Bombyx mori: one gene and its partner. The protein of the gene in region 1 binds, or shares a complex with, the protein of each later gene. Links are inferred from orthologs where the notes say so. Each region holds a gene or a part of one and is shown on either strand. Other genes may lie near its edges. The genes, in order: armadillo repeat-containing protein 8 and glucose-induced degradation protein 4 homolog.

Region 1 (4,371 bases):
TTGTGTAAATCAGAATATACAAATGGTTTTGGCTTGTGCATGCTTGTCTTGTACATGTTGTGTTGATTCAATTTGAGTTTTTTGTCGTTTATGTTGTTGTTAAACTACTGGTGTTAATTGATTTATTACACTTCATGGATTTATCTACATAGGCAACATATTAATGCATAAGACATTGACTACAATACCCAATTGAATTTTTTTGCAATTTTAGCAATTTAGGAATTTTGTAGCATTTAAGCTAGAGTCAAAGAACGCATAAACGTAGGTTGAAAAATGGGTTCATTTATATATTGAAGCATAAATTCTGCACAGATACACTTCAGAAAAAAATATAAAATGCGCCTTTGTTAAAATACTAACAAATATGAACATCTAACATATTGTGTGTATTATGCATTATAGAGCTATTGCAAATCTTAATAATCTCAAGCTCGGTTAAAAATTTTTCAATTTTCAACTGCTGATGAATTATGAGATAATCTATGACCATAGCAACTGGAGTATTTAGAAACATCAGAATATGTTTCAAATATGCCTAATAAGATACGTGAAAACTTTCAACATCTATTATCTAATCTAATAAACAATATAAAGGTTTTTGATTTGCCTCTATTTGTATACCACATCCATCAATCAATCACAAAGATACATGCTTATGGTGTAATGTAATGGTTTGTTTGCTTAATAACTTATTTGATTACATCATCAAATGGACTTTGATTTGACATTTGTTTTTATAAATTCTGTATTGAACATTACATTCACACCTATGAGTGTTAATTTTATCACAAAACATTTGATAAACTCTCAACCCAAGAAGTAAGTAAATGACAAAAACATCAAAATAAAATGCAACATCTAACTTGGAGGTCCCCAAACTTTTTATCTTTGTTACATGATATAACATAAGACATAAAATGTTTTATGCGCATTAATTTTATTTAGGTATTTATATTATTTCTTATATATGAGTCGACTAGTATCAAAGCCGGCAATGTGACTTTTGGACAATTATTGGTAAATCAGAAAAACGAATTATTGACTTTGTATTCCATTGGCAACCACAAAACTCTTCTGAACGACATCTTAGATAAATAACAGGTTAAGTATTAACCTTTATTTAATGCAGGTTTTGAACCATATTCTTTGAAGGAGACGATTATATTCAAATCAATCTGTATTGACATATCAATAACATTTTCTTGTTCAAATGTACAGACTGCCACCTTTGATAATAGACGACACATATATAGCCAAATAGACATAACATGTTTTGAAGATAATTTTTAGAGTAACCTATGTTTCAATAATAATCTAAAAATTAATAGCTGTTCGTTAGTCTCGCTAAAACTCGAGAACGGATGGACCGATTTGGCTAATTTCGGTCTTGAATCTTTTGTGGAAGTCCAGAGAAGGTTTAAAAGGTAGGTTTAACGGCCGTCTGGTGTAGTGGTAAGTGACATGGTCACTACACAAGGGGGTCGCGGGTTCGAACCCCGCCAAGGGAAGATATTTGTATGATAAATATAAATGTTTGATGTGTCCCCCGTCGGACGGATTCCTTTTGTTTGTTTTAAGTTTATTTTATACAAAAGTTTAGTCTTTTATTTATCCATCGAGGCACTACAAAGTCTGCCGGGTCAGCTAGTACTATCTATAAGGATTATTACATTAATTGAAACTCAAAATGATAGTTCATGTTAAATATTATTGTGGACCTCCACATGTCACCGACGCCAATTTTTTACTTTGGTTCTTTCTTCATCAATGGCAATCAATATAAGGCTGTATAATAAGGTGTTAAGGTTTGTTTATTTGTTTGTGAGTTTGTGGTAATCTCTGAAACTATGAAATCAATTCTGTAAACCATTTTACTTCCCTTACTTTGAGTGACAATATTATGAGATTTTGGTAAAAATAAGTATGTGGTTTGAAACATCATAATTTAAAGTCAAATCAATATTTAAAAGTAGCTGTTAGAAACTAGTATCCTGTAGAATAACTTTCTGTTCAGTTTACATATGAAAGTACACAACCAAGACTTTACAAGAAACCGAATGTGAAACTAAAAAAATAAAAATGACTTTTGTCTATTTAGTATTTAGAAATTATAAACATTAAGATAATCATGAAAGCTTTTATAAGTAGCAAAATCATCTAGAAAATAATCCCGCATTGCTGGTTTAAGGAAAACAATAGCTTATGCTGCATCTTAAATTAAGTGATTTGCGAATTTCATTTTCATTGTAATTGTAAAAATGTTAATTTACATAAAATAATGTAGATTAAATAGTGTAGTACAAAGTAAATAATCTATCAAACGTCAACTTTAATGTAAAAATTACAGTTAATATACTTAATATTGTTTGGGAAGCTTTCATACTAATATTATAAGAACAAAAATTTCTGTACATCACTGTGTACACTAATGTATATCACTACCATGTATTAATAGGTTTATGAAGGAATGAAATTTTACCTATTGTAATAGTTGCCTCTAGTCTAATGTTCGGATCCAGTGATTCTTCAGACATCAATTGTAGCAGCCTTGGAACTACCCCTTGACTGATCACTGAACTCTTCTGTCTGTTGCTCCCTATTACCGAGTTCTTCAGCGTTACCAAAGCTTCCATTACCTTCACCGCATCCGAAGAATACAACTCGTCGATATACGAGCGGGAGCTTTCGATATCCTATTTGAAATCTTTTTAGGTTATAAAATATCATAAGAGATTTTAAAAGTCTTAATTAACTCAAAGAATCCTGTACTACGTACCATGAATACTGTAAACTGTTGCATGTTTTAATCAAAATATACGCAGTAATGTTGGTAAAAATAAACGTTCGAAATTCAGATCGACAACCGAGGCCGAACTACATGTCAAGATTGTCAAGTGTTAACTGACAGTGACAGTTCTAGACCATAGATTATACACTTCTAGACCGCGTTAAAATTTAATATCTTTAATATTAAAAAAATTTAAAAATTACATAGACCAAGCTTCTCTACAACATTTTTTTTTGCTAGTACTGGTTAGTTGACTATGAGCTTTGACAAAATCCTACAAAATGTTCATTTAAAGCTACCTTACCCCAAATTTTCACCTGTCGTATTCAGCAAAGTTGTAAATAGTAAAAAAAAAGTCCCAAGTTTGTTTTTCTCTATACCGAACTAGAGGTATTACAATTATTTCGTTTCGTTTGTATTTTTAAAACAATCGATACAGTCGTGCTCAATAAAACACAACATATCTACATATACTTTGCGAATGTTACAATAAAAAAAAAAAGGAAACAAATACTGTATTTAAATGTAGACCAGATACTTATTAACTCCATGATTTAAATTTTAAGCAAACTTTCCTCCACAGTAGGCCGAAATTAATTCGGAATTCTGGATCATATAACTGATATCTCGTTTCAATTCTGCTAGAAAACGTTCCGAGAGGGCATTCTTTTCCATTAAAGTAAGTAAGATTACTCTTCGATCGTATTAAAAAAAATTGCAGAAAAGTGGCATAGAGTATTGTAACTCATGTGTCTACCTAAACTTTTTGACATGTGTTAGGCACTGAAGTATAATAAAAAAGTCTATCTTAATAAGTAAATATTGGCAGTTGACATCTAAACGCTGACAATTTGACATTCATAAAATCATACAATCCATTTCAGGGATTTTACAAAAACAATTCGTGCTGGTCGTGATATTTATTTACTATTTTTGAAACAAAATATGAAATTTTGGTTAAAGTACAATGTACATTAATTAACCTGATAACGTAAAAGTGTGATGATCTAGTATATTTCATTAAGAAACTGCATAATGACAGACTCTGGAGTCGACACTGGAAATGAGAGCAGCGATAATCCTGTGTTTGATCATTCGAAATGTGTTTTGGAATTTAATCTTCCAGCAATTCCTATAACCCAATCTGGTCAGCCAATGCCAGTAGAGTTTTTAGATGAGCCACATGATCATGTCGGAAAAATTAAATGCTCCACAAAAGCAAGACACTGCCGTCTTAAGCATAGATACGGTGGAACAGTTTGCGCATCCAGGAATCACAAGTTGCGGTTCGCGGCTTCCACGAATAACACAGAACTCGTTGAACGATTATTAAAAGCTGGAGCGGATCCTAATTGTTCAGATGAGCACAAAAGAAGCCCATTGCATTTAGCAGCTTGCCGTGGCTATGTCGATGTAGTGAGAATACTTCTGCGTCACGGTGCTAACCCTAACAATAAAGACACACTTGGAAACACACCTCTTCATTTGGCTGCATGTACTAATCACATAACAGTTGTCATTGAACTATTAGATGCTGGAACTGATGTCAGTTCACATGACAGAAATGGCCGCAATCCCAT
Region 2 (4,491 bases), on another chromosome or scaffold:
ATTCCGTACTTGACACCAAGTTCGTGAAGAACTGGGTGTCGAATATAATCACTATGATAATAACCTGGGTCTGCCATAATTGAGGATGCACGGTGTAATGTCAGATAACCATAATTATGTAGGAAAATCTCACTACTAGAGCTTCGGGTATTCACAAAGGCTTAGCTGAAGTACGGTACACTTCAAACACAATATGCATTGAATTGGTAAAAAATATCATGGTTTGTCAAGTTTCCAATTAAAGATCAAATAAATTATGTGCTATTAAACCCACAAAACAAAACAGTTTACATATCAATCTATTGAAATCAATGAAGTAGGAAAACTGAAATCAACGAAACGACGAATCAAAGACATTTTCTTCTAATTTCAAGTTCATCCAATTGGTAAGGCAAAGAAGGTTACGACTATAGGGTCAAATCTTTGATTTAACGATTCCAAGGAGGCATAGTCTGTTGTTTCTATTACTGCCTTCGATCAAAAATTTTACTTGATAAATTATCAAAACCTTGGTGCCAGTTTACCTTTAAGATAATTTGAAAGAAAATACGAAGTTATAATGGAAGTTAATTTATCCAATAATTAGATATCATATTCGCTAGATTGAATCCCGTGAGATCGTCTACACGTTAGGTGAAGCTGGTATAGCCCCTCGACGCTACCAGCATAGTATGTAGCATAGGTAGGGGAAAAAAAAACACGTGTGCCACTCGGGGACTGCCGCGGTAAAGCTATAACATAGCATTTTTATCAACTTACGCAATTATAATTAGACAATAATAATTTAATATTAAAAAAACAAAATCAAATAAGTCCACGCTATATTTATAAACATTAACAAAAGCAAAACAATAATTGCCCCCTTCACACTCATAAACTAGACCGCGCGAGAGAGAGATGGGCAGACTTTTCATGATTCGCATGCAGTGCGACGTGACGTCACGCCGCGCGCTTATTCACAAACTACACAAGTGCAACGTGTGAAAATGTTGAACACGAGCTACATGGTAGGTGGAGTGGATGGTGTTAGGTTTTATTTTCGTTACGGAATTTCTTGATTCGGTCGCCACGTTCAAAGCCCGCGATAAAAACTATGCAATAGCTTAAAAGAATTGATGGTTTACCTGAATGTAATTACGTTTGTGGGCTGATGATGATGATGACTATTAAATACCACGGCGTGAATATTGCAACTCACTATGAAGTACGAGATCGAAGTCAGTTGATGAAACGAAAATCACTACTGACTTCAGTTGATTTTTTGGCGGGAACGTGAGGACCGAAACTATCTGAATTGTTTTGTTTTGTTATTTTAGTATTTGGTCAGGCTTACACATGTAATAACGGTGGTCTATTAGCTGTTTATTATGTGTGCATTGTTATTTATGCACTTATGAATGCGGAAAAATGAAAATGTTGCTTTCCGGGTTCTTTAAAAAAGCCCGCTAAATTTTGTGTATTTGTAACCACCATTTTAATGAGACTTTATTTCATCCCCTCGTCCTGTTTCATTTAATTTCATCTTCATTAATTAGTCTCAATTAAATTATTTTCACCTCATTTCATCCATATAATTTTTTCACTTATCTATATTTATAATATATGCATAACAAAATAAATAAACATTAAACATATTTCCTAAAGGCTCTGTGGTGTGATATCTTCGCCTTTGCTATTGGAAGACGGAACTACTACTACAAAATCACTGTCACCTGGCTTTCAAGTAGGAATTTTATTTGCGGTGTTTGTTTCCTAACTTTCACTAAGTCTAAGTGATGTGAAAGATCCCCAGCATATCTGTTTTTACCTTTTTATTGTAATCGTACAACCATCATGTAAAACATATGTTCTATCAATAAGCGAAAAATTTAGATAGAATTGAAAGGCTAGCGTAACTACTGTCTGTCACGGTACCTACTCATCGCTCAGTTCTGCAACTGTCACATTTACAAGAGCTAGGTCATCGTCTTATGGAAAAATAATGCCAGTGAAAGTAGACATTACACCACCTCCACCAGCTAATTCAAAACAACCTGGTGTGACAAAATCCCTCCTTTACAACGGCTCTAAATTTCAAGGACATCAAAAAAGTAAAGGCAACTCTTATGAAGTCGAAGTAGTTTTGCAGGTTAGTCACAATAACAAAGTACGCAATATTGATAAACAATATTTTATCGTGTTTCTGTGGATGTAATTGTAAAAGTTTATAAAGTAATTACTTTAAGACTTAGCAATGACATCTATGTTTTGAACAAATGGGGCTCAAAGGCTTATTAAATTTTTGTTAAAGTATATAATTTTAGAAACTTATGTAACTTATTTTTACAGCACGTAGACGAAGAAAATTCATACCTTTGTGGATATTTAAAAATAAAAGGTTTAACAGAGGAATTTCCAACACTCACAACATTCTTTGATGGTGAAATAATTTCATCCAAATATCCCTTTCTAACAAGAAAATGGGATGCTGATGAAGATGTTGATAGGAAACATTGGGTAAGTGTAGTTATCTAATTTTATAATAAAAACACTTTAATAACATAGTTTGTAGGACTGTTTAAATTTGTTTCTTTTTATTTCTTTCTAGAGTAAATTTGACTTATTTGTACCATATTTAAAGACTTTCAACTCGGATTCATTTGATTATGAGTCTCTAGCAAAGGCTGATTATGTGTTTATGAGATGGAAAGAACATTTTTTAGTTCCGGATCATACAATAAAGGATATAAATGGTGCTTCTTTTGCTGGTTTTTATTATATATGTTTTCATAAGTCTGCAGCCACAATAGAAGGATATTATTACCACCGGAGCTCAGAATGGTAAGTTATGACAATTTCATTTTAAAAAAAATCTATAGATATAAATGCAAGATTAATAAGTTTATTAGAAGATATGAATAAGAAATTATTATTAGACTAAATTTAGAAAATTTAAGATACTATGAATTCACTCGAAAATAATATTCGTGTTCTACATAATTTAATTTTTATTCATTAGTTAATAACATTATTAAACTGTACTTGTAAAATGTAAACTTTTACTGTCGTTGGTAATTATAAAAGATAGAAAGAGGTGGATAAATTTAAATATTTTTGTACAAATTATTTTTTCACTTTGAATTTATTGTATATATTTGTTAACATAACTTTTTAAATGTAAACTTTAATCCACTCCTGCTCTTGGGCCAATATACTATAATATAATATAATAGCTTGGTTCAATTTGGTTACAACTTATCGTCACTGCAATGTAAGTTGTTATTAATGCAAAGCCAAGTTAACATCTTAGGTACATTACAGATGTCATATGTCCTCAAAGTAATACCACACAGGAGTGATAGCAAATAATAGGTTTATATTCACCTCAAACAGTACAGTAGATACCTAAGCATTTTGAAAGATACTGAATCAGTAATATTCAACATAGGAAATAGGGTCAGAGTTTGTTCAGATAATAATGTGATGTCACATGATGACAGATATTGGAAAATAGTGATTGTGGTTTGTGTGACACAGGATTATATATTTTTATTTTCTGAATATTCAGTCAGCTCAGCTATATATAGTGCTGTGTTTTTAATGCTGGGTCATATTTTTGTGTAATGTGAGTCAATTTGCCATATAGAACTGGGAGTTATGTTTAATTTAAAAGAATACCAGTATATTCCATATGCTTCATTTGCTAAGAACTTTTTTAAATACCTTCACATTTGTTTGTTATTGTTTAATTTTTAATTCGAGATTGTAGGATAACTATAAGGAAAAGCTTCACTAGTAACATCTGCACAAAATAATCAAGTGGAATTTAAACAACTAATAAACTGTAATAACTATTTTTATATTTTCAGGTATCAGTCATTGACTTTAAGTCATGTTCCTGAACACAGCATTCAAATATATGAGTTCAGATGAAAATATTTGTTACTAAAATTTGGAACAATATTTTTGTGTCTACTAGTACTTACTTGTTCATAAAAAAGAAAAGTATTTGTTAATATTCAGATGCAGAAAAAAAAGATGGTTCATTTCACCAACAAAAATCAATTAAAAACATTTAAAAAAAACTAAACATAATGAGACATGTCTGTTCTTGCACATATTTGAATAACTGAGATTCATTGTTCTTGTTGATCGAGAAAAATGAGTGTATTATTTGAAATTTTTCATTGTATTACTTAGTGTAATTATGTAGATAAAGAAGTAAGTTTCATGATGCTGCGTATGTGATAATTTGTACAAATGACTTGAATGTAAGTAGATTATTGTGTTGCTAGTCGTTTTTTTTCTATGTAGTGTTTTCCCAGCTTTTTTCTGTTTAGTATCAAACGGCTTCCATTTTTGTGGGCTGTGATGATATAGAGTAAATGCCAATTAAGATCAATTATTGCTGCCTTTATCAGTATCAGTTTTTTTGTTTATGGCATAAATAGCAATTTTAGTCCAAAGTCATCTTAGCTTCCAATCAAATTTAATGAAATATGTGCAGGATCA

What was found.
Region 2: the proteins of armadillo repeat-containing protein 8 (region 1) and glucose-induced degradation protein 4 homolog are in contact, whole or in part, in a cryo-EM structure (PDB 7NSC), measured with the Homo sapiens proteins. The link is inferred for Bombyx mori from reciprocal best matches to the Homo sapiens genes ARMC8 and GID4. Residues at the interface, in NP_001350870.1 of Homo sapiens: Glu309, Pro310, Asp311, Val312, Asn371, Glu373, Arg406, His409, Arg413, Ser414, Val415, Gln416, Arg419, Thr420, Gln423, Asp424, Val444, Ser448, Cys451, Asn452, Leu455, Phe457, Ala483, Val486, Asn487, Trp490, Met493, Asn494, Phe497, Gln498; in NP_076957.3 of Homo sapiens: Leu104, Ile105, Pro106, Pro107, Pro108, Pro109, Ile110, Gln114, Pro115, Gly116, Val117, Ala118, Thr119, Gly125, Gln146, His147, Tyr154, Cys156, Tyr158, Phe174, Glu176, Phe239, Val241, Pro242, His244, His292, Ser293, Ala294, Pro295, Ile296.

What each region holds. Positions count from the first base shown.
Region 1 is NC_085117.1:9,114,677-9,119,047, reverse strand, and holds the start of armadillo repeat-containing protein 8, read right to left. Parts: upstream 2,918-4,371; 5' UTR 2,804-2,917; coding exon 2,780-2,803; intron 2,697-2,779; coding exon 2,483-2,696; intron 1-2,482. Other genes in the region: ankyrin repeat domain-containing protein 54, read left to right, coding at 3,827-4,371. UniProt on the Homo sapiens protein: Component of the CTLH E3 ubiquitin-protein ligase complex that selectively accepts ubiquitin from UBE2H and mediates ubiquitination and subsequent proteasomal degradation of the transcription factor HBP1.
Region 2 is NC_085123.1:10,770,533-10,775,023, forward strand, and holds the start of glucose-induced degradation protein 4 homolog, read left to right. Parts: upstream 1-1,662; 5' UTR 1,663-1,981; coding exon 1,982-2,128; intron 2,129-2,328; coding exon 2,329-2,496; intron 2,497-2,587; coding exon 2,588-2,820; intron 2,821-3,848; coding exon 3,849-3,912; 3' UTR 3,913-4,491. Other genes in the region: serine/threonine-protein kinase N, read right to left, coding at 1-77.